Linked DNA regions of Arabidopsis thaliana. The protein of the gene in region 2 purifies or fractionates together with the protein of the main gene of each other region. This does not show direct contact. Each region holds a gene or a part of one and is shown on either strand. Other genes may lie near its edges.

Region 1 (9,050 bases), on a different chromosome or scaffold from region 2:
TTGGCGTCAGAACGATATAAAATTTGGTTTAGGGCACATGCCTCCCTAAGTCTTAAGCAAAAAAAATTTCATCAACATCTCAGTTTATTGCGGGCCTTAAAACCGCAATTAAAATCGAAAAAAGGAGGAAGAAGCAATGCTTAGGCACCTCCTGATCCGTACTTCTTACCGAAGACAATCAGCTGCAATTTGTCGTAACCGGAAAGCACACCAGCACCTGCAACAGCACGCAGAATGTTGGCACCAGCTCCCTTGAAGAGTGACTTGGCTCCTTCATTCTTGAGGATCTGCTTGAAGGCGTCCAAAGAACTCTTGTACTTGACAGCTTCACCAGACGTCATCATCATTCTTCTGCGGACAGTGTCAATGGGGTAGGATGCAAGACCCGCACCATTGGTAATAACCCATCCAAGAGCGAAACTAGCGAAGAAACTGTCCTGAAATAACCAAAAGAGAACGACCACAACATGTCAATATCAACCAATGATAGGCAAGAGAGCACACAGATCAGAGAGAAAGACAACAAGACATACCTGTAAGTCACCAGTGAGGAGAACAGGCTTCACAGAGTCATAGAGTCCAAAGTACAGACCACGGTAGACAATGATACCAACACATGAGATGTTGAATCCACGGTACAGACCAGCAATACCATCAGTCTTAAGTGTCTTTCTGTAGACATCAACAAGACCATCAAACTGTCTTCCACCACCTCCTTTCTTTGCAGCCTTGGCATCATTAGCTAGACGGGTACGGGCATAGTCAAGGGAGTACACAAACAGAAGGGAAGAGGCACCAGCTGCTCCTCCAGATGCCAAGTTACCAGCAAACCACTTCCAGTAACCATCTCTGTCCTTCTTAAAGTTGAAAAGTCTTTTGAAGTAATCTTTGAAGGCAAAGTTCAAGGCCTACAATAGACAAAAAAGAAGGTTAGCAGAAAATTATGTTTTTTCAAAAGCTATAACAAGAAAGAGTATGAAACTCAACAAACCTGAGTGGGGAAATAACGGATAACATTGGCAGTGTTTCCTCTCCATAGAGAACCAAAACCTTCATCCTTAATCGTCCTGCCGAAACAGTCACCAATACCCTTGTAGGGTTCAGAAAGCCTGCCAGCTTTAATCATCTCATCCTGGTTCTGGATCAAAAGCTTAACACGTTCAATAGGAGCAGCAGCAGTCTTGGAGACGGCAGCAGAAACACCACCCATCAGAAAGTCAAGGGCAAAGTTAGTGAACCCCTTCTCTCCTGGGGTTTGGACAAACACGGGAGAAGCAGTTGTTGCCAACATCCGGGATGTCGGAGGAAATTGAAATGCAGCATTGGAGTAGTTTCCGTAGGTTGCATGTCTTTGATACATAGAAGGCCTCTGGTAACCCACTTGAACGTCCTTGGAAACACTTGAACGCATGAACTGCCCGGCAGCTTTCTGCGCAATAGTGGGGTGCTGAACTTGATCAACCATTTTGAACTCTGCAAAATCACATAATCATTGATGAGAAACCAGACGTGAATAACATACTACAAACCAGCCAAGGAAATTCAGAGAATTCTTATCCAACACAAGACATGGTCGTATCACAGAACGCTATCCAACCAAACAAACCAAGTTTATTGGAAAACAGTGAACCATGAACCAAGATCTACCATGTCATATTATAACGCAAAGATCATATAAATTTAAGAACAGCAACTTAAATCAGGATTACAACAATAACAACTTCCAATAATGAAGCCTCGACATCAGATCGGATACATTTTAAACTAAAGTCAACAGATCCAAACGATTTTGATCACTAGAAGATTATCAGATCAACGAAACGCACAAAAAGAAGCAGATCTATGAAACCGATACATCAGATATTCGACAATGAGCACAAAACATTCCGATCGGACTTTAAGCAAAGCAGATAACATAATCTATCAATATAACAATCAGATCTACAGATCGAAACGTCTCATTTACCTTACAGATCTAAAAAACACAGATCGAAGAAACGAATATAACAATGATTTGAAGAACGACGAGATTATAAAGAATCACAGATCTGAGAGAAACGAGTCATACCTAAGAATCGATGGATGAGCAAAATAACTGGAGAGAGACTCCGCCTTTATCTCACAGGAAATGAGAGGGCGAAGCAGAGAAGAGAGACGAAGTTTTCTCTGTGGTGAAGAGGCGAGCTTTGAAAAGAGCGATTGTTTGCCCTTTTATCGTCTCGAAAAATAGGGTCACAGAGTCTCGGTCGTCACTCGCCAGTGGGGACGAGTTATTATCTGCTGCAAAAAAACTATTTGGGCCTTGCAATTTAATATCCGTTGGATCTTACTGATTTAACCCTAAGAACTTGTTAACCGTTGGTTATGTTTACTTTGTGAAAGAATTGTTATTCTTTCTGATGGTACGACTTTACTTGCTAACCGTTAGATCTTGCCCTAGGAATCTGGACCGTTATTTGGTAACGTTGAGGGCAAATAGTGAATGGACGGCTGGAAGGGTAGCGTGGAAAATTATTTTGTCGACCATACCGAACCAGATCAATTTGCAAATATCTTATGCCAAAATTATTATTATGAAAGGAAATAAATTGAAGTGTTCAATTTTATTTTAAATGCCAGATTTTTACAACTTTGTTTATTTTCTTCTATATGAATATGATATTTGTGAATATACAAAAAAAAAAAAAGTAATAATAAACTGATCTAGTATTTTTCACAAATAGTGATATTTTTCTAAATCAACTTGGTTACAAAGATAATTTTTCTATATGCTACGTTTCTTTTCAACTTTCTCTATTGTTCTCCCATGTGTTACGAATGTTCAGCAACTGCCCTTAAAGTCTCATACCTTTAACTTTACATGAAAGGTTTCTTTTATTTAATTCGTTTAGTTATTTGGAGAACATTTTTTAATGAAGTTATGTTTTGGCGAAATAGATAAATCAAATTTAGTCTGTGAATTGAACAACATCGTGAGAGGGCCGGCGAGTATACAGTATGGCTCCCAAAAAATCACGAGCCTTATTAGAGAGCGGTGAAAATAGTAACTTAAAAGAGAATCAGAGTCTATAGAGGCTCAGGTGGGACTTTTAAAAAGAACTACAACAACAAGAATCATCACTTCTCGACGACTTCGATCAGACTTGTCTCATAGTCACTCGGGGCCACAAATCCATGGAGGTTCATCACTGTCGCAGCTACATTTGCAAGCCCAGGTGTCTCGATATCCTGTCTAAACCTAACTCCTGCTGACAAGCCAGGACCTCCTATGGCAATTGGCACCTGCACACACACATCATGTCCAAATTTCATATAAGATACACCAACCACTTCTGGTATTACAACCCCTCATGCTTAATCTATGCTCAGTTGCAATGGTCATAACACGAACTGTTTTAGTAGTGCTAGAACTTACTGGTTTAAGGGTGTGAGAGGTAAGAATCTGAAGGTTCCCTTCCTTATCGAGAGCAGGCTTGCCGGATTTGTCCCTTTTAACCATGTCCTCAGCATTTCCGTGATCTGCAGTCACAACGTATATCCCTCCGACCTGTTCTATGGCATCAAGGATTGTCTGCAAACCAGGACACCAAAACTAAGTGAGTCATTGCTACTAAGAACGGTTTCTAACATTCCCATGTCACAAATTTATTGAAATCATACCCTCACAGCACGATCAGCAGCTTCACAGGCAACAACAGTTGCTTCAATATCACCAGTATGCCCCACCATATCTCCATTTGGCAGGTTTACACGCACCTGAAAATCCATTGGCACCAAACTCAGAAGCCAATTGTTTTAATGGGTTGATACAATGTGATAAGAGAATACACCTTACCTGGTCAAACTTGCCACTAAGGATAGCATCCCTTGCTTTCTCGGCAATTTCCAGTGCTTTCATCTTTGGCTGGACATTGAATGATATTCCACTATCACTTGGAATCTCAACGTACTCTTCTAACTTTTCATTGAAATATCCAGAGCGGTTGCCATTCCAGAAGAAGGTTACATGGCCAAACTTCACAGTCTCACTGTTTCAGTGAAATAAAATTTTAATAGGTTAATAGCTGAGAATTCATTCATTATATGTAACTAACCATCAACGGTATAATCTCATCAAGAAAAAGTGAGCTAGGAGATTTCACTAGTTTTAATCAACAAACAACCCCCAATCATAAATTAGACCTCTACCGAGCAAGTAAAGAAGACTGGATTACTCTTATCACAGTTTCAATTATGAATCCAATTCCAGCAAATAAATAAACCAGGAAGCAGCAATAGAAGAAAATGGCAAAGACAATAACTAAAGATTTGAGAGATTCTAAAAGTTAACCTGCAAGCAAAAGTACGAACGCCATTGTGTGCCAGATATTCACCAGAAGTTCTGTCAATCAATGGTGGAGAAACAAGATAGCGGCTAGGAAGCTTAAGCTCTCCATCATATTGGAGCATTCCTGCATAACGTATATCAGGGACACGTACGCGATCAAACTTGTCGAAATCTTTGTATTCGAGGGCCTTTGCATGCATGACCATTCGATCAGCACGGAAATTGAATGTAACAACTGCGTCACCATCAACAATTGGACCCACAGCCTTTCCATTATCATCAACAATAACAAACGAAGGCAAATACTGGTCATTGGCACCAGGTTCTGCCCTCAGTGTCTTAACTGCTTCAAGAGCGCTTTTAAATTTGTGGGGAGCTTCCCCAAGGACTTGTGCATCCCAACCTCGTTTAACAACACTCCAATCATTCTGCAAGGAAGGAAAGCAAAAATTGGATTCATTTCTAAACTAGACTAGACAAGGCATGACATTCATACAAGATCTCACAAGCATTGCCTACCTCATAACGGTCCATTGTGACATACATTCGACCTCCACCAGATGCAACCTGAGCATCAACACCTTTCGCACGTAAAGCAGCTAGGTCAGCTTCAAGAGTTTCAACAAATCCGACACTAGAACCATCCAAAACATCACGACCATCAGTAAGAATATGGACGCGGATTCTCTTAGCACCACGTTCTGCAAAACCCTTAAGCAGCAACTGCACCAAACAGAACCAAATTAAAGAAAATTAACAAACGCCAACGTTTCAAAAGAAATGTGTAACAGATGAGAATTAAGTACCTGGACTTGATCCAAACGAGAGTGAACTCCACCATCGCTTAGAAGACCAATAAGGTGCACAGTGCCTTTCTCAAAAGATTGAGAGATGTATTTGAAACCTTCATCTTCATAGATTTTCCCTGAAGCAAGGGCGAGATCAACAAGCTTAGCACCTTGAGCGTAAATTCGACCAGCTCCAAGAGCATTGTGGCCAACTTCACTGTTTCCCATGTCGTCTTCGCTGGGGAGACCAACGGCGGTACCATGAGCTTTGATCAACCTCCATGTGTCGGGCTTCCCCTGTGAAGAATAAAATCGAACCGTTGAAGTCCATAATCGGAATCCAGCGAAATCATCGAGGAAAGAAGTGGATATAAACAAAAAAGGAAACATACGTCTTTAAGGGAATCCATGGCAGGAGTTGGAGCTTTATGGATGCAATTGTATTGATCGGGATCAGATTCACCCCATCCATCGAGAACAATCAAACCGATAGTTTTGCCTTTGGGAAGCTTGGGGTGGTCCGCAAGTTTCCAGTTAACGTCGCCGGAGCTACCCATAACTGTGGATTCAGATCCACTCGTCGGTGAGAAATTAAAGGTTTAAGGAACAGATCTGAGAAGCGAGAGAGAGAGAGATAACGGAAGCTTACCAGCGGAGAAACAGAGGAAAGCTTCTCAAAGAGTCTTATGGAGATTCGCAGAGACAGAAGTGGTTATGTGGTGAAGTATGGTAGGTTGAGAGCTATCACTGACATAATATGAGACTTTTATAGAAACATAGAAATGGAAAAGTTAGCGATGACGTGGTACCAATTTAATGGGCTTTACTTTGGGCTCAAGTAAACATTGTGAAGCCCCCAAAAAAATGGAAGGAGACGAATGTTCTAGTTTTAGCTGCTATGAACGAATGTTCTGGATCATGCCGTTTGTAATAGTCATGGTGTGCGCCATGTAAAAAAAATTGTATATACCTTTTTATTTTGGTCAACGTAAAAAATAGCATACAGAAAAGGTCAAACCGGAGTTAACTTAATAGTTTATACGGTATTTGAACCAGAATTTGATCAAAAATGGGTAAGTTTTAGTAACTGGGATTACATTAATTTCTGTTGACAGTAACTTTTTTTTATCTAAATCATTATTTAAACCTTGAGATTGCATTAAATCAAACTGAAATTACACGAAAACCAAACCGAAAACTCATGTAAGAAATTCAGGGTTGTGCACATTTATTTATTCAATATCATCATAATATTAACTGGGAACCTTCAAAAGGTTGGTAGAAGGCTAAAAAACAATTTCTAATGGGCCAAAGACAAAAAGTTGAGTTCCTATATATTGGGCTTAAAAAGCCTGAAACTAGATGAGACGTGGTTCATAGTCAGATAAATGGGCCAAGGATAAGGAAAGACAAAAACAAAAGTAGAAAAGAATCATACAGTATACATATATGGGAAATATACAGAGAGAGATACAGATAACACAATAAGAGGTAGACGGACAACTGTTACGGCGAAATTGAATGCCGCAATGTATCAATATGATTGGTCGAAAAGGAAAGTAAAAAAAACAAACAAAATATTAAATTTTTGTTAATGTGTAAAGGGAGAAAAAATCAGATGAACAGGCTGTATCATTTTTTTTTTTGTGAACAAATGGGACTGACGACAACACTCTTCTTCTCCTTTTTGTCCTTTTGGCTCTCTCCTTCTCTCCTTTCTCTCTCTCTCTCTTTTCCACCGGCGACCATTCATTCTCTCTCCTCCTCCTCCTCCTCCTCCTCCTCAGCTTCCTCCATTGCTCCTTAACCCTCATTCCTCGATTTGTTCTTCTCTTCACCATTTCCCCTTTTTACCCTTTTTCTACTCAGACGTGACGGCGACTTTTTATTCCTGTGTCTCCCACCTTTGACTCGCCCTGGGGGGATTTTTTTTTGCTCCAGAGGCGAAAGAAACAAAAAAAAGCAATGGGGTTTCTCCGTTGTCTCCAGCTGCTGCTGCTTCTGTTTCTATCTCTTCGTCTACAAAAGCTCTCTGCTCAATCTTCTTCACCCAATGCTTCTTCTTCTTCTTCACTCGATGCTCTTCTTCAAGATTACTCTTTTAGAGCCTTGCTTCGTCCTCGTACCGGCATTCTCTACGAGGCTACTACTGTTCCTTCCAATTTGACTGGGATCAAACTCGCTGCTATGAGACTCAGAAGCGGAAGCTTTAGAAAACGTGGAGTCACTCCTTTTAATGAGTTCTCAATTCCCAGCGGCGTTATCGTCAAGCCGTATGTGACAAGGCTTGTTTTGGTTTATCAAAACCTAGCTAATTTCTCTCACTTGTATTACCCTTTGTCTGGTTATGATTATGTCGCTCCTGTCTTGGGTCTTCTCGCTTACGATGCTAAGAATCTCTCTGCGCTTAATTTGCCTCAGCTTGATTTAAGGGTGTCTAATGATCCTATCAGAATCGATTTCTCTGATCTGGAACGAATCCCGCAAGGGTCTAGTGCTAAGTGTGTTAGATTCGATTCTAAAGGTGAAGCGAGTTTCAGCGATTCGATTCAGCCTGGAAACACATGCGAGACTGAGCATCAGGGACATTTCTCTGTGGTGGTGAAATCTGTGGCTTCTGCTCCGAGTCTAGCTCCTCCTGGGATTGAGAGTAAGAAGAAGAAGAAGAGCTCTGATTCCAATTCCAAGACTTGGATCATTGTTGGGTCGGTGGTTGGTGGATTGATACTGTTGGGGCTTTTACTGTTTCTGGTTTTGAGATGTCGAAATTACAAGAAGCAAGAGAAAATGAGGGAGATGGAGAGAGCTGGAGAGACAGGGGAAGCTCTGAGGATGACTCAGGTTGGTGAAACAAGAGCACCAACTGCTACTACGACTCGTACACAACCAATGCTTGAAACCGAATACGCAGCTTAGGATACTTTTGTGTACATCATCATCATCATCACATCTTCTTGATCATCTGTTACTGTCTTTTTCTTTTTTTCTTCTACAATTATTCTTCTTTTGGTAAAGTGTTTCTTTTTCTGATTATTTTTTCTTTGTGGTAAGCAAGTTGATACTTCCACATTCATCTTGTTTCTCTGCTGGTGATAAGGAAATAAGTAATATTGTTTTCTTCTTGTGCTCTCAAATTAACAAACTTTGGTGGTCTCTCCATGAGAATGAAAAGAGTTGGATTGTTTCTGGAGTGCACTCACTTTGTTTTCTTCTAACTACTTTTGCTGTAAAGCTTTGCCCTTTTTGTAATAATTTCAACATCTTTTTGTCTGAGAAGCAGACAGTTGAAGAAGATGTATATCATCCTATCATCCATACTCAACTTTGTTACATTGAGCTTAGCATTCTTCAAAAGGAACTAGTGTGTTCTTGAGATTTGTTGAGTTTTAACATTTTTTGCAGCTATCTGCTTCATGCAACTTGTTGACCCTCACATTTATATTAGAAGATCACCGATGAACCAATAGATTTTGGAACCAAAGAGGTTAGAATCCGGTAGGATATGTAGAAGATGATTTGCACTTGGCAATGTTACAACGTTTATGTTTACATCTAGGATTGTCTTGTTTGCTTACCTTATATGAAAAGTCATCTCGTTCATATGGATTTTTTGCATTCTACATTTTAGAAAAGCACCGTTTGCCACTTCAGGTATGTAACAATGTGCACAGCTACAAATCTTTGCACTGAACAGATTTGGAATAAAGTTTGAGTTAAAGTGAATACATGACTTGGTTAATCCTGGCTTGGGCCATCTTGTGGCCTCTTGCTCATATCAAGTAAAATGCCATGACAACAACGTTAATGGCTAAGTTAGCATTGCAGCATCTCCTCTGACTTCTGCAGATACCAGGAGATTTTTTGTCTCATCATTCCAAAATCTTAAGGTTGAAAAAGAGATGAAGTAAAATGTATAAATGCGGTATTAATTGTGT
Region 2 (8,326 bases):
GTGACCTGGCGATTGATTTCCGGGATGATTTCGGAATCAGTGGTTCCGTCGAGGATTAGATCGCCGTTCCACCACTCTCCGAGCATGCCGTGGTCGGTTGGGGATTTGTGGTTGTGGCGCGTGAAGAATACGGGGATTGAAGCGCGTCGGCAGATGTCGATGGTGGTGAGAGCGTTTTGGAGGATTGGTTCAGCCATAGAGTAGAAGTGATTCTGCATATCGATGACGAGAAGAGCTGCGATTTTAGGATTTGGCTCTCGCTTTCGTGTCTCGTACGTTCTCGATGATGAAGAAGCCATTTCTGGCGGTGAAGATGAATCTCTTGATCGGTGGAGATATATTTGGGAACGAAAGGATTTAGTCACTCACTTATTGGGCCAATATAAAATGGGCCTAGCCCACGTATGATGTAATCTTGACCTATGTTGGTTATACAGGTATAATTCAATGTGTATATTTGTTGTATAGTATAATGTTCTTTGTTACATTTGCAGGTGAACACGAGTACCTGCTCTAAAGAGGGATATGATGTACATATATATGATCTATGAATCTTATGTTTCTTTATCTTCTAGCTTGTGTTGAACAGCTTCCACAAGTTGGAGTAACATTGCTCCAATGAAGTACCATGTAACTCCTGCTAACAATATCTGCTGCCATGGACTGTTAACTATGGATAAAGCCAGCGAGCCGCCGATATGGTCGTTGAGCTCAGAGGCGGCTCTGTAACTTGCTTGGTACTGAACCAAGAATACTGCTACTATGGCTGTCCCAATTGGAAATTTCTTTATCCTGAACTGTCTTCTATTTTCTCTTCTACTAGTTGGTTTCTCTTCTGAAGGAAATGTCTTACGAGTCACTTGCGGATTCGAGCTAGCTTTGGAACCGTTGTTGTTTCCAGATGAGGGAAGAGCAGCGTTTGATGGACTCCAGTAATCTTCTCCAAGCAAGTAAGCTGATCCTTTCTCTTTGGTTCTTCCGCTTTGGTCTGCTTGTTTCATTGCTGCCACAACATCTTGAAGCTTTCTGATATCTGGATCAACAGCTTTCTTTCTTTTGGTAAAAGTTAGACTCATGTTTGATTCTGGACTCAATGGTTTCGTGTACGGTGATGATCTCCAGTATAGCCAATTGGAAATGGACCTAATCGCCTCTACTGCACTTATTTGTACTTCTCTCTGTGAAACATCCCAACAAAACTACTTAATATCTTACATGTAAGTGTATAACTTGACTATAGATAACTCACCTGGGAGGTCTCTTTTGTGGTTCTGCTCATAGCTTTAGCGTATCTTTCTTGGAACTTCTTGACATCAACAAATACATTGGAGACACGCTCACCAACCGTGTTTCCAACCCCGATCCTCACGTTGCCTCGTGGTTGCTTTGACATAAGGAACTCCAATGGAGCAAGGTCAGATCTCTCCACCATTCTGCACATCTCATAAAGTATCATACTTTTATGTATTTCTCTAGTTGTCTTGTCTCTATTGACTTCACATATAGAGAGGGAAATGAAACAAAACCATTACTACATCTACTAGTTAAGTGCTTACGAAATGCAGTCTACAGGGCAAGCTTCGATGGCTTCTTTGATTTTGGATTCAGGATCAGCCCATTGAGCAACAACCCTCGCTCTCCCGTAAGCAGTTTCAATAGCAAATGTTTTCTCTGCACACAAAGCACACTTCAAACACCCAACACACTTAACCTCGTCCACAAACGCAGCTCGTTGCTCTGTTTCTGGTCCACACCAAACCGAGTATATCGGTTTCCCTGTATAGCCTCTGAGTTCTTCTAGTTTTGCTTGCTCCTACAACAAGAAAGTTTCATTCATATTTACTTAGTGTGACCTTGACAGAGACTACAAGATCAAAGAAGCAATATAAGAATTATAACCTTGTCATAGGCTTGGCGCGAGATCGGATCAGAGAGAAGCTGGTAAGCCTCGTTAAGAATGATGGCCATATCATGACCGGGATCTCCTGCGATATCTGGATGACATCGTTTCTGCAACGCACGATAGGCTGATTTGATCTGAGACTTATCAGAACTTCGATCAATACCCAAGAGGTCATAAAGATCAAAGTCAGTGATAGACGATGATGATGAAGTTGCTCTACACTTGAACTTGAGTGGTGATCTAACGGTGATGAGCTTCTGAGATGTTGAACATGGCCATGTAGCAGTTGATGGAGGAAGAGTCGTCGGAGAAAAAATAGCCGGTGTCATATTTTCCCCTTCTCTGTTTTGGAAGGTGGATGAGTTTAGAGAGGGACAAGTTGTTGAAAATATCTCTATATGAAGCTATTTTTCCATCTCTCTTGGAAAGATATTTTATTTGGGACGAATAAAAGTTCCAAATTGAGTTATAGCTAAAATGAATAATATTTTATAAAAAATAAAATTTTTGAAAGCAGACAATAAAGTTGATTGGTGGCAATTAAAAGAGTTGTACTATTATGATATTATCCTTCTATACGAATGAAAGTTTAAGGCTGAGGATCATAGCGTAAAAAATATCATAATGAATTATCGAAATGTTGTTTTAATAAGAAAAACCAAAAAATAAAGTCTTACATATTTAGGTTACCTAATTTTTGGCTTTTGGTTTGGACTTTAAAAGATCCAGTCTACACTTGTTGTATCTTTCTTACAATCTTTTCTTTCATTTTCAGGTAAACCAAAAAAATTATAAAGAATCTTCCCACCCTAATCAGAAAAATAAATTATAATATCAATTTTCAAGAAATCAAACTTGTAAAATTTTTCTACTTAGGAGAGTATAATTTTGAGAAATTTGAGTTTTTAATCTACAAAAAAATTATAATTAAGTAACTAACCATCCCACAAAAAGATACTGATATTATTTGTATTTTCTGTAATAATGACAATGCTACCCTTTGCCTGAGATACAGGCTCTTTTTCTTCTTCTTCTTCTCTCTTTCCAAAAAACACTTTCTCATCAGCTGTTAACATTCCAACAGCTTTTTGGGTCCCAAAAATTACTATCTCCTTTTTGTAAAGCTTCGGATTCTGAAAACGTTCAATGGAGATGTATTGGCGACGGAATCAATACATTTAATTTTTGGAATTGACGTCTAGGGTTTGTGATTAAATTGAATTGGGGGTTTTGATTTACAAAGGTAAAATTTTGGATTTTTTTGGAGTTACATCAATTTCTAGTTAAGTGTGGCGAGTTCGTGTCTCCTTGTGCCCTCGATTGTGGAACCCAAATGGTGTACCCGGTGTTCTCTACTACCACTTCTTTCCTCTACCAAGAGACTATCTTGTGCTGTGCTACTCGTTATGTTGGTAGTGATGACAAACATATATTATTCTATTTTTCTATGGTTAAAGAATATTAAATTTTAGATTGAAATCTTTGGGTTCCCAATATATTATCCACTTAGGGTTTAGTATCCTTCCAACAAAAACATTTAATTGATTATAATGCTATATTAACGTAACATAAACTACTATCTCATCACCACTACCAACACTATTACTTTATATTTAAAACATTTTGCTCTATACTAAAATTAAAATTGATTTACAAATCAGTTATGAAAATAGTATAGAACAATATTTTATTTCTATACATCTTAAATAGTACAATATATTTTTTACTTACAAACACTATTTCTATTTTTAAAATTCAAATCCGATTTTAAAAATTCAAACTATTCTGTATGTAGAAAAAAACATATATTTTTCTCTACTAAATTTCAGAATTGAAATCTATTTTTTGGAAAAGATATATAGCAAACATATATAAATGGATAAAAACTAAAATAAAGGTTAGTAAATCATCTCACCTATGAGTCAACATTAAAATTGTCTTTTCCCTACCCTTACATGTTACTTTCTTAATTTCTATATATATGATGCTATATTCTTAATTACATTATCAAAAGTAGCTAGTTTTGCAATTCACCCTATAATTTTGTGTGCACAAGAAAAAAAAAAAAAAAGAGTATAATTTTGTTTGGACTCAAATCAATGGGCCTTAATATGGATCCATTAAATTAAGCCCAAAAGCTTTCGTTAATTCTTCAACGAAGATCGCTGAAAATTTCCTTTCCCATTTCGCTGAATAGGGTTCAGTACAAAATTCGGAATCGTAGGTTTAAGAATTTTAGATCATTGAAACAGCCATGTCTAGGCAGGTCACGAGACTTCTCGGATCTCTTCGCCATTCCGGCGGCGGCTGCAGCGGCAGCTCAAAGGTCTGCTCTCTCACTTCATTGGTACAGTCTCGCTCCTTCGGGACAACTCCTCCGCCTCCTGCGGCGGTCTTTGTCGACAAAAATACACGTGTCATCTGCCAAGGTATTACCGGAAAGAACGGGACCTTCCACACTGAACAAGCCATTGAATACGGCACCAAAATGGTATTGTATTCGAGAATTCACATAGATTCAAATGTACTTCTTGGTGTTTTTGAGCAATTCAGATTCTATGTATGGAGTTCTTAAGTACGATCATAAGAGCCGATTCTTTACTATTTCATCTCTCAAGTTCACTTGGAATTGGTTCGTTTATGTTGATGAAATGGTGTTTGTTTTGTGTTTGCTTTAAAGCTTGTGATGATCTTATTTTAGGTTTGTGGTTGTTTGGTTAATAGGTAGCAGGAGTGACACCAAAGAAGGGTGGAACAGAACATTTGGGGCTACCTGTTTTCAACACTGTTGCTGAAGCTAAGGCTGAGACTAAAGCCAATGCCTCTGTGATCTACGTACCTGCGCCTTTCGCTGCTGCTGCTATCATGGAAGGTTTAGCTGCTGAGTTAGATCTTATTGTTTGTATCACTGAAGGAATTCCTCAACATGACATGGTAATAGTCGTTGTTACCAGTTTCCTTTTTTTTTTTTTTTGTGATATCTTCTTTATATGATAGGTTTGCACAGTAATATAAGGTGGCTCTACTGATTTCTCTGGCTTTTGTAATGTAGGTTCGTGTAAAGGCTGCTCTTAACAGTCAATCAAAAACTAGGCTGATTGGCCCTAATTGTCCTGGTATTATCAAACCTGGTGAATGCAAGATTGGGATCATGCCAGGATACATACACAAGCCGGGGAAGATAGGGATTGTTTCTCGATCTGGAACATTGACATATGAAGCTGTAAGGTTCTTTGTGTTGCCTTCATGTTTGTCTCTGTCTTTCTCAACTTATTGACTCCATAGCCTTTAGCATGAGTAGTTGTCTTACTTAAGAACCTCTACTCCGTCGATTGTTAGATTAAGCTTTCACTGATGTCAGTTCCTTACTGGAAGACCTGCTTATTAAGTACTTCTTCTAATGGTTGCATTTTGGTTAATCTTTCATGCAGGTTTTCCAAACTACTGCAGTAGGTTTGGGGCAATCTACTTGTGTAGGAATTGGTGGGGATCCGTTTAATGGGACAAATTTTGTTGACTGCTTGGAGAAGTTCTTTGTTGACCCCCAAACAGAAGGTCTCGGTTTCGGACACCATAATTGATTCCATACATCTTATATCTTTTCCTATTTGTCTAAATTCATTGTTTCCTGTTAGTCACTTACTTTTAATATGTAGTTGATATCCCAAGACTACTACTAGTTCTTTAGTATGTAGAAAAAGGTGATTCATTTGCAGTAATAGACACAGCTTTATCGATATTACAGTCTCGCTCTGTTTTGTAGATTAGTGAAAGAATCCAGCATTGTTTTGTTACTAAGAAATTATTGATTTATTTTCAGGTATCGTTCTCATTGGAGAAATCGGTGGGACTGCAGAAGAAGATGCCGCTGCTTTGATAAAGGTAACTGCAATGCTTCTTTCTAAAGAATCAAGAGTTACCATTTTTAGATGATCAAGCGTAAAAACATATCCTGTTTTCAATTAAACAGGAAAATGGTACAGACAAGCCTGTAGTTGCTTTCATAGCCGGACTTACTGCACCACCAGGGCGTCGTATGGGTCATGCGGGAGGTAAATAAACTTTACTCAGCTCTTTCATTCATTCACAGTTTCCCACTCGAACCCATTATTAAATCTTGTAATGTTTTTTTTGGGATCGATGAAGCCATTGTTTCCGGTGGTAAGGGCACGGCTCAAGACAAGATAAAGAGCCTAAGAGACGCAGGAGTTAAGGTGGTTGAGTCACCAGCTAAGATTGGTGCGGCGATGTTTGAGCTTTTCCAAGAAAGAGGTCTTTTGAAGTGAAACTGAAGTAATATCATAATACAATGAGTTGTTTCAGGAATCAACCTCTCTAATAACAACAGTTTGCCAAAATAGAAGAGTGAAACGGAATTCCTAAAATTCCTTACCATGGAGATAATTGCAGAGAAAAAAAAATAGTCACTTTTTTTTTTGTCTATGCCATTCTATTTTTCAATTTATTGAGCCGTTCTATTTTTTTTTTGTCTTTGTTTTGGTTAAGTTACAAAAAATGAGAACGAATCAATTGCACAAATTTCTTCTTTTAAGAATCAAAATCAACTAATTTAGCTATGTTGATTCCAACTTTTGTCTGCTATGCTATGAGTATTGTTGTAAAACAAACCTTTTCTTTAATTTTAACTAACAATTAACCCCAAAAAATGACAGCTAATCAAAATGATTTTAATTAGTGTCGTGAATATGAATGAAGAGATTCATAATATAATAATATTGGGAAAAAACAATTGACAATGAGAATGCATTTAAGTAAAATGACAAAAACAAAAGCAAAGAGGTCTATAATTGGGTCCTAGGTAATCAATGGTAATTCATGAGGACGTTGTCATTAATTAATTACTACTACGTGTACTAATCAATGGTTATCACTGGTTCAGATAAAGACGCTTACGTCAGATGTTCCATCAAATTACAATTTATGCAATTTGCATTACGTTTTACTCTATTTGTATAATAAGTTTTCGTAAGCCTCTCAAAAGATAAATCGAAACATTTATCATTAAATTAGGCAAATCAATAGAAAAAGAAATTAGCTCATTTTATATTTAGTATTTACATAGATCTGTTATATACGTATGTGTAATGTAGGACAACATAGGGGCAGCAGATGAGAAAGTGTGACAGTGGAAATGACGGAAATAGCCTTGGACCCAACTCTTCCTCTTTGATCATTAGTTTCCTAATTTAGAAACCATAACATGTTTCTTGTGAGTCTTCTGACAGAACAGACGACTGACCATTACTCTCTCTGCTTCCTTAAAAATCCTGTGACCCAAAAATTCAAAGGAAACGACTTTAGGACGTTAGAATTTAAATGGAATTAATGATATATTTAATTGTATACAGTATATTGTTTAGACCATTAAGTTCAAGTTTCAACACGATTTTTCACTTTGCAAGGCATTTACCATTTGTCACATATAGGTAAAATTTATCTACGTACGGATCATCTTGTTATAATAAATGACTTTTTCACCATAGGCAAAACTCCTAAATTCTATTTTTCTATTTAAATTTGTTAAAACATGATCACTGGAATGATTCCACTGTGTATATTCATATCATTAATAATTTTTGTTCTCAATCTTATCATGTAGGCGTAGCCTGTAGGCAGGTGTAGCGCTGCTAATTACTGAATATATATATATCTTATTATATAAAGTATGGTTTTCAAAGTTGCTAACTCATAGGATCGTGCCACGTGTCAAGTCAAACGATCAGATGTTTACATGTGTCATTCAAAATTTAACTTTTTTATTCTCTAAAAAAATAGAAAATCTTAAAAAGTAAACAAATTTACATATACTAATTTATATGTCTATATATTTATAAACAATTAACATTTATTCAAAAAAAGAAAATTAACAAATATGTGTTTAACTCATGTAATTATAAGTGAAAATAGAATATTTTGAGAAAAATAGCTTAGCTTATAAGATTTAACTTTTCAATTATTTTCATTTATTAATTTTAACTCATTTAATATTAATTTGCATGATGTAAAATTAGCTTACGAGATTACGGCATATATAAAAAATATATTTTCAACAATGTTTGGTTTCTAAATATTTTTGTGGATTTCTGATTTTCTATTAATTATTAAGCCTAGGCGTTTGGGTATTCGGATCGGGTATTTCGGGTTCGGGTTTTCGGGTTTAGAAGTTTATGACCCGTTCGGGTAATTTAAGATTTCGGGTCGGGTTCAGTTTGGGTTCGGGTTCGGGTTCGAGTTTATTTATATATTGAAATATCAAATTTTGTGTGCAAATCTATTAAATTATTTGAAATTTTCAAAAATTTCCAAAACAACACGAGTAGTTTTGATTGAATATTTCTAAAAATACACAAAAATAACTAATATATCCAAAAAAATCCTAATATTTTCTATATATAAGTATAA
Region 3 (7,947 bases), on a different chromosome or scaffold from region 2:
GTAAAGGAAGAGTCTATGTGCATTGCTCAGCCGGATTGGGAAGAGCTCCAGGGGTTTCCATTGCTTATATGTATTGGTTCTGTGACATGAATGTAAGTTTAATAGTCTCACTCTACTTCAATCCAAGAAAGTTTCATACTTTTTTTGCGTTCTGATTCTGTGTTTCGAACAGCTTAACACGGCTTATGACACTTTGGTATCAAAGCGTCCATGTGGGCCTAACAAAGGAGCCATCCGTGGTGCAACATATGATCTGGCTAAGAATGATCCCTGGAAAGAGCCCTTTGAGAGTCTCCCTGAGAACGCATTCGAGGACATTGCAGATTGGGAAAGGAAGTTGATTCAAGAACGTGTTCGGGCCCTCCGTGGAACCTGAAAATCAGTAATTCTGAGAATATGTATAATTTCGAATAAAATGTAGACTTCTGTATATTTTAAAGCTACGGATTACAAAACCTCTTCTGCGAATTAATCGACCTTGTTGTCAGGAACTCTGTGGTTCTTCTTGTCTAGTTCTACAAAGATGAAGTCTATATAATTTATACATACACTTAGATGTATTTACTGTTAAAGTGATGGCACGACTTAGCAGCGACACTTTTGGCCATTTTCTTACACGACATTTGACTTTGGTTTTCATCAGAATTGGTGATCGGCTATTGGGAGGTTTTTCATAAGAAAAGCACTTAGCTCATGTTAATGCTCCAATATTCTTGGGCTATGGTCAATGTGTTTTCGACCCAACAACCCCATAAAAGCTTAGAGAAACTATCAAGACTATACGCTTTGCTTTCTCGTTACCCTACTTTAGGCTTAAACAAGAAGAAAATATGACTGCTAAGTCATATTTTTCAACTCTCATGAGCAACCGTAAAGTTGCACCGCAATATCCAACAAATGACATTCGTGTTATCTACAATCTAATGTTGAAAATTTGGCTCATCTAATAAAGGAGACAAAAGTTATATCTCTTTCACACACACGTTAATGGAAGTGTAAAGGCGGTGAGAGTGTGGGAGAGACTTGGGGAACAAGAAGAAGGACGCGGTCAAAAAGTGACGGTGGGCTACGGCTTTTCTTGGTAGCAGTTGGAAATTCCATTAATGACTTAAAAAGTGTAAATCTTATCTTCTTTTTATTTTGTGATTTGATATGCACATTCATTTCATGAAAATATTTGTATAGTTTGATGATCATACGACAAACTTATAGGGTTCACAAAGTAGATGCAATAGTTGCATACCTCTGTTTAAATGTTCTTGTTAATATTATACTTGATGATGAAACTCGTGAATGTTATTCAAAATGTCCATGTAATACAAGATCATGCACTATAATAAGTAATCTATCAATTTCAGCACAACAATTTTGACAAAAAGTAAAAATAAAATAAAATAAACTGATATCATATTTCCGAATTATATGTAAACGTTTTCTGTTTCTCAATGGTCTCTTTCACTCTTGTGTTTTCTAATATTTCATTTAAACCTATTTCTAAACTAAGCACATCTTTGTTGATTGATTGCATTTCAACCAAAATCGATAACCGAATCATTGTTTTTTTATGTTTTATTTCAGCTTACCACACACGTTTAGAATTTTAAAAATAAAACAAAAAAAAGTTAACTCGTTACAAATGAAAATGATATTTTTAATTGGACTCGATGGAAAGGACCAATTTATTCAACACTATTGTTTAGTCCGAACACTTGCCGCGTAAGTTTTCCAACTCCCCCCATTGACCTTTCGCACTTTCACAAACTCCGTATATATATAATGGATACACTCTCTCTTTGATCTTCACCCACTTCATCATTTTACAAACCAAGCAAGACTAATCCAACAAAAAAATAGTCCACAAAAAGATTTTTACAGATGGCGATTAACAGATCTTTACTTTTGATTCTTCTTTTCATCTCTGTTTCTCTATCGACGGCGAGGATCTTACCCGGAGAGTTTGTTCCAGTCATCTTCTCCGGAGAGATCCCTCCTGTTTCTAAGTCGGCGGTGGTTGGTTGCGGAGGCGAGCAGGAGACCAAGACGGAATATTCTTCTTTTGTTCCTGAAGTTGTCGCCGGAAAGTTCGGGTCCTTGGTGTTGAATGCTCTTCCGAAAGGGAGTCGTCCGGGGTCTGGACCCAGCAAGAAAACTAACGACGTCAAGACTTAGCACTATTCTTTCTAGAGTTTTCTGTCCTAATTCTTACTTCTTTCTTTTTTTGTTCTTTAGAGATTCTTTGATTTTTCGTTTTCAAATAGAGATTATTGTAAATGTTACATGTATTACAGAAATTTACAGTAGAAGTTTAGGAAAAATGAGGATTTTATTTGGTAATGTAAGTCGAAATGATCAAGACTTAGACTATCATCTTGTATCGTTTCATCAATATTTCTTTGATAAACGTTAATCAGCTTTTTAATTTCTATGATTATGTATCAATTTTATTTAGACTAAGAAAGTCTTTTAAGTTAAACGCATAAAAGAGTCAAGGATACCATTTGAATTGACATTGTATTAGTGTTTGGGTAACTTCCAAGAAAGAGATAAAATTAAAAGATAAGAATGGGGCCAAGGCGTAAAGAATCAAAAGTTAGGCGAAATATGTATAAATTGAATTGAACGCGTTTTTTATGAGACTTGACTATGATCCATTTTCCACAACGCAGACACAAAGATAATGCATTTTTATTACACAAGTGTGTATGCATTATTTCACAAATTTCATTAATCCCAAATTTCTTCGTTATAATATTCCTGTCATATATGTGTCGAGTAGTGAAAAACGAGAAAATTAGTTATTGTTTTATTGAAATGAGGTAATTATTATACCAATAAGATTCCGTTTTGTTTTCTTCGTAGAATAAACAATAGCGCTTTCTGACAATAATAGCAAATTTTTATTCTTGAAAACTTTCATTGTAAAACAACGTACCACACAGCTGAGTTGAGCAAATCTTAAAAACCAAAGAGACACTGTAAGTTTGTTTCAGACAACCTTAAAACAAAAGCTGAGCTGGAACTGGTTCATCTCCTTATGTCATCGTGTAAACGATTCAGTTGTTTTCCTTCTCATAAACCTCGCTTGCATATTTCCAGTTGATCACTTTCCATACATTCTTCAGATACTCAGGCCTCACATTTTTGTACTGAATGAGAGAATACAGATTGATTAGAGAGCTTAATCTTTTAAGCTAACTCATGAGACTTAAGGTATCAAAAGTGTTGTTACCTGCAAGTAGTAGGCGTGCTCCCAAACATCTATACCCACCAGAGGTACCAAGCTTCCTCCTTTTGTCACTAATGGATCCTGCACCAACCGAAACAAACTCTTTTTCTTTAAAACCCATTATTCTCACAGATGTTCATGAGTACCAAGAAATCTTTTGAACATATTCAATAGCGCATTCCTGATCATGGATAAGTTACCTGATTGGCAGTTGTGTCAACAACTAGCTTCTTCAGTTCTTTGTCTAGTCCGAGCCACTGAATTAATCAACAGAAACAAGCGAATCAAGGACCATGGTTATTATACGTAAAGCACCAGAGTCGACAATGTGAGCAGATGAAATAAAAAGGTGAAACTAGACTACAGACCACCCATCCTGAGCCTTGCACTGCAGCACCCTCAGCACTCATCTTTTTCACCAGACCTTCAAGGGAGCCAAAGTGAGCGTCAATGGCACTACCAAGAGATCCTTTTGGTGGCTCTCCACCACCTTCCTGTTATACATTAAAACAAACCATCAATTACAGAACAACAAAATCGAAGAAATACACAGAAACTCAAAACACAAGCTCACACTGGAAGGAGCAAGGTTCTTCCAGAAAATCGAATGGTTGACATGACCTGCACGTTAGAAATAAAGTCGATCAATTCCCATTCTCTAGCACACAAAAAACTCAATTTATTTCCAATAGTTTCTCTGCCAATTTCTCTTCTATCAATCCAACCGGTCCGGAGCTCAAGAAGCAACAATCCTAATACCAAACTATAGTCATCAAAATTAATCAACAGCTTCAATGTTCCTAACAAAAGTTCTATACTAAATCAACTGGTTATGATCTCAAGACCCAGCAAACAAAAGTAGCTATCTAAGAAAGCTTGCATTACCGATAAAAGTTTCATTGATTCTTACAGAAGTTTCATCCCAATTCATCAAAATTACTCATCAGCTTCACTGTTCAAACCAAATTTCTCTCCTAAATCAACTACTTCATTTGCTAATATCATCCAAACACGATCTAAACACAAACCAATCGATCAAACACATAGAAATCGAGATCGTAAAAAAAAAAAAAAAAGAGAGTCAGACACACAAACACACCTCCGCCGTTGAATTTGATGGCGCTCTGCAACTTAACAACAGTGGAAGCATCTCCCTTGTTCACAGCTTGATCAAGCTGCTCAAGAGCATTATTGTAATTAGTAACATAAGCCTGGTGATGCTTCTGGTGATGAATCTGCATGATCTCTCCACTAATGGCCGGTTCCAATGCGCCATAATCGTAAGGAAGATCAGGAAGCGTAAAAGTCTGAATCCCTCTGATCCTCAATAGCCTCGATGATGTCTCCTTCAAGCCGGCTAGGGTTTTTCTACTCGCTACACAACGAATCGCCATTGTTGGAATGAAGATTTGTTTCTCCTTCTAGTGGTCGCCAAAAATGAACATGTGTATAAGTGGAGGGTTATGATAATATCACTGCCTGTCATGTATAGAGAAAAGTGACTGTTTTGACACGTAGACATGTGATTTTTATTTATGGGCCGTAATATTGGATTAGTGAGCCCAAGGCCTTAATATAATAAAGCGTAATTTTTAATATTTTGTGACGGCTAAATGTTACTTTTTTGTTTGTTCACAGGAAAAAAATAAAGAAATGAAGAAAGTTGACTAGAAACGGAGAATTTCCAAATGTTGAATTTGTTGGATGCATGTGAAAGCCAATTCTATTTGGTTCCTCCTTGATAATCCACCCAATCGCTGTCATTCTCCCATCAATCTAGCTGCTTTCACAAACCATTGTACTGAGATCGTATCTTTAAGGTAAATTTCAAATCGGAGTCGGCGAGATCGAAATAGGAACCTGGAAGTCGGAGAATTTGTGTAAATTCGGTTTTTTTTTTTTAATTCTCCGATGGATAGTTTAAGTGATATCGATGGTGATTTCGATGGAAGAAATGAAGGAGGATCGTCATCGGATTATCGATTGTTGGGTCGGCAGATTACGGTTCATCAGTTCATGGGTGGTGGCAAAGGCGAGTTCTTTTTTCCAGAATTTGTGTTTTTTCATCATTTTGGTAGTTTGTGATGAGAATTTTCTCGGATTTACAGAACAGAAAATTCAAATTGGGGATGATAGTTGGAATAGTTAGGGTTTCTGATTTTGGTTGGTTGTGAAAATCGTCATGTGTGTAAGTACATTTAGCATTTTGGGTATAGTAGAAAATGGAAAACTTGGCAGGTGAAAGTTAGGTTTAGGTTTGATTTTGAATGAGAAATTGATTGATTCAAATCTCTGGATACGCATGATGAGTTCATAGGTCCAGCAAAAAGCTACTGTTTGTGATTTTTGTATGGCTTTGTTCTTTGATGTAGCTGCTGACTTGCTCTTATGGAGGAGGCGACATCTTTCTTTGGGGGTTATCATTATATCAACTGTAGCCTGGCTTATATTCGAGTTTTCCGGGTTGCCTTTCTTATCTGTTTCTTCGGATGTCTTACTCATCGTGATCATGATATCATTCGTTCATGCCCGGGTTTCTGCTTTTAGGAATAGGTGCGCTCTACTTTTCACTAGTCTTCTTTTTCTTAATTCTTTGCTGTTATGTGACTGATTAGTGATGATTTCTACCTGTTATCTCTTTATAAGCAGACAGTTGCATTCGTTGCCAGAGCTTGTTCTATCAGAGGAAATGGTGAATAGTGCTGCAGCTTCTTTCCGTATAAAACTCAATCACTTGCTTGTAATGGCTCATGATGTCACAGTTGGCAACGATTTTCGACTCTTCTTCAAGGTTATGAAGCTAACCCATTCAGAAACTCACGATGATGTTGAGTGAAATGACATGGGAACCGTTAAGCATCTGAACTGTTGGTCTGACGATTTTTCTTTAGCAGGTGGTGATTTGTCTGTGGCTTCTCTCTGCCATTGGTAGCTATATATCTCTCTGCACTCTTCTTTACATCGGTTAGTAACTTGATCCTTAAATGCAAATGAAAGGAAAAAGCTTCTATGTTTTTTGATCCTTCAGTTTCATCCCCCACGTTGGCTTGTTGATCTCGTTTTAGTTCCTGCGACATTGTTGTTTTAAACTCAGTGAACCAAATTCTTATATGAAGTTTATACTTTTTATGGTGTGAACAGGGACCATCCTATCTGTAACAATACCGGCTTTGTACAGTAAATATCAAAGCAAAGTAGACAAGTGTTGCGGGACGATTCACAGGCGGTTGTCTCACCACTACAAAATAGTAGACGAAAATGTTATAAGCAGACTCTCATGGAGCTTATCCAAGGATAAAGATTCATGAGCTTAACTTTGGTGATTCTGAGAATGCTTTTACTTGTTTTTGTTTAGCTTTTCTTGTTATTCACCATTTGTAGTATAACTAAACGCCATATCCAGAATGAATATAAGATGGTTTCTTTGTTCAACTAAATTAACTCTTGCCTTCGTCTGAAGCTTAACACCACTGGAGGAAAAAATACAAAAAAAGTTTAACACCGCTGTTCGTTAAACGACGTCGTGGCGCAGAACAATACTCACATTTCAGATGGATTTGACTAGCCCAACTTTAATGCCCATATGCTGAGAATGTTAGGTCACGTGTTCACGTCACAGAAGAACCTCACTTACACAATTTAATCGGACTTGCTACAAATATGACGTCAGGAAAAGAAAAACAGTGCTACAACAAGTCTACAAGTAATGACTATACTACATGATTGAGTAGGTGTAGTCACTTGTGTTGTTATAGTATTATACATGGTCATATCAATGAAGATGATCAAACTCTATTACGTATTCCTACGAATTCCATTTTAATTTATCATGTTTTCTTTCAACGACTATCATTTCATTACATAAAATGAAATTCTATGATGATATAGTATTCCATCTCCATGTCCACCTACTATATTTTATATTAATTAAATGAATTTTACTTGTATCACACTCTTTCGTGGTGGTATATATGTTTATCTTTCACAACTCATACAGTACTCATTTGCTTGTATATATAAATCCTATCATGTATTGATCTTTTTATGTCTTCAACTTTTTATATATATCCTATCATTTTTATGTCTAGTATAACCTAAAATGGCCATCATCTAAATTTAAATAATTATTCTTTATTCTAACAACTTGATCAATTAGACATAGATGTACATGTTATCTGTACTGATGTACATATACGAATTAAATACGAGTACCTTAAATTTTCTGACTATATGAGACCCATAGCAACTTCTAACCAAGCATTTGAATCTGATAAATAGACATAGTAAATACACAAAATAGACTCGTGTATGGGGTTTGATGGATCTCTAACGTTGGAGTGTTGTTATCAACTAATGGAACTTATTGAAGCTAAGAGAGACAAGTGTTGTGACCTTTGCGTGAACTCGTAATTCTATTTAATTTTATTTGTATTTCTACATTAACTAGTGTGTTTGAATTGGACTTCTTATACTTGTGGTTGTGGACCCGTAAGTGCCACATGATTTTGTTTGGACCATTTGATTCGTAAACCAACTACATATATACATTATTTTTTCATCATCAGAATCTTCGAATTCTACATACCATCATATGGAATTTGCAATGACCAAACAAATGGAAAATCTTTTGGCCTTGACCAAATACACGAAACCAAGGTGGTAGCCAAAACCAAATTGGTTATTAAAGATGTGTCTACCCACAAGAAAACCAAAACCATGGA

The links. The genes of interacting proteins can lie anywhere in the genome.
Region 1: the proteins of AT5G23250 (region 2) and iPGAM2 fractionate together in Arabidopsis thaliana (co-fractionation; one large-scale study listed by BioGRID). This does not show direct contact.
Region 3: the proteins of AT5G23250 (region 2) and MSD1 fractionate together in Arabidopsis thaliana (co-fractionation; one large-scale study listed by BioGRID). This does not show direct contact.

What each region holds. Positions count from the first base shown.
Region 1 is NC_003074.8:2,605,566-2,614,615, forward strand, and holds iPGAM2 (Phosphoglycerate mutase, 2,3-bisphosphoglycerate-independent), read right to left. Parts: upstream 5,991-9,050; 5' UTR 5,765-5,990; exon of another isoform or gene 5,675-5,764; 5' UTR 5,673-5,674; coding exon 5,508-5,672; intron 5,413-5,507; coding exon 5,134-5,412; intron 5,051-5,133; coding exon 4,847-5,050; intron 4,756-4,846; coding exon 4,331-4,755; intron 4,029-4,330; coding exon 3,836-4,028; intron 3,757-3,835; coding exon 3,661-3,756; intron 3,572-3,660; coding exon 3,416-3,571; intron 3,283-3,415; coding exon 3,118-3,282; 3' UTR 2,743-3,117; downstream 1-2,742. Other genes in the region: AAC1 (ADP/ATP carrier 1), read right to left, coding at 141-437, 534-908, 992-1,465; AT3G08600 (transmembrane protein, putative (DUF1191)), read left to right, coding at 7,081-8,031.
Region 2 is NC_003076.8:7,826,303-7,834,628, forward strand, and holds AT5G23250 (Succinyl-CoA ligase, alpha subunit), read left to right. Parts: upstream 1-4,053; 5' UTR 4,054-4,157; coding exon 4,158-4,394; intron 4,395-4,627; coding exon 4,628-4,837; intron 4,838-4,955; coding exon 4,956-5,126; intron 5,127-5,334; coding exon 5,335-5,458; coding exon of another isoform or gene 5,459-5,484; exon of another isoform or gene 5,485-5,723; coding exon 5,724-5,785; intron 5,786-5,873; coding exon 5,874-5,955; coding exon of another isoform or gene 5,956-5,963; exon of another isoform or gene 5,964-6,049; coding exon 6,050-6,189; 3' UTR 6,190-6,541; downstream 6,542-8,326. Other genes in the region: NIC2 (nicotinamidase 2), read right to left, coding at 1-299; AT5G23240 (DNAJ heat shock N-terminal domain-containing protein), read right to left, coding at 555-1,178, 1,250-1,433, 1,557-1,813, 1,900-2,232. UniProt on the Arabidopsis thaliana protein: Succinyl-CoA synthetase functions in the citric acid cycle (TCA), coupling the hydrolysis of succinyl-CoA to the synthesis of ATP and thus represents the only step of substrate-level phosphorylation in the TCA.
Region 3 is NC_003074.8:3,414,688-3,422,634, reverse strand, and holds MSD1 (manganese superoxide dismutase 1), read right to left. Parts: upstream 4,696-7,947; 5' UTR 4,621-4,695; coding exon 4,326-4,620; intron 3,848-4,325; coding exon 3,801-3,847; intron 3,721-3,800; coding exon 3,595-3,720; intron 3,484-3,594; coding exon 3,427-3,483; intron 3,308-3,426; coding exon 3,230-3,307; intron 3,147-3,229; coding exon 3,054-3,146; 3' UTR 2,743-3,053; downstream 1-2,742. Other genes in the region: LSF2 (dual specificity protein phosphatase (DsPTP1) family protein), read left to right, coding at 1-92, 173-376; AT3G10930 (uncharacterized protein), read left to right, coding at 2,102-2,407; AT3G10915 (Reticulon family protein), read left to right, coding at 4,931-5,046, 5,179-5,258, 5,599-5,779, 5,876-6,017, 6,121-6,190, 6,368-6,534. UniProt on the Arabidopsis thaliana protein: Destroys superoxide anion radicals which are normally produced within the cells and which are toxic to biological systems.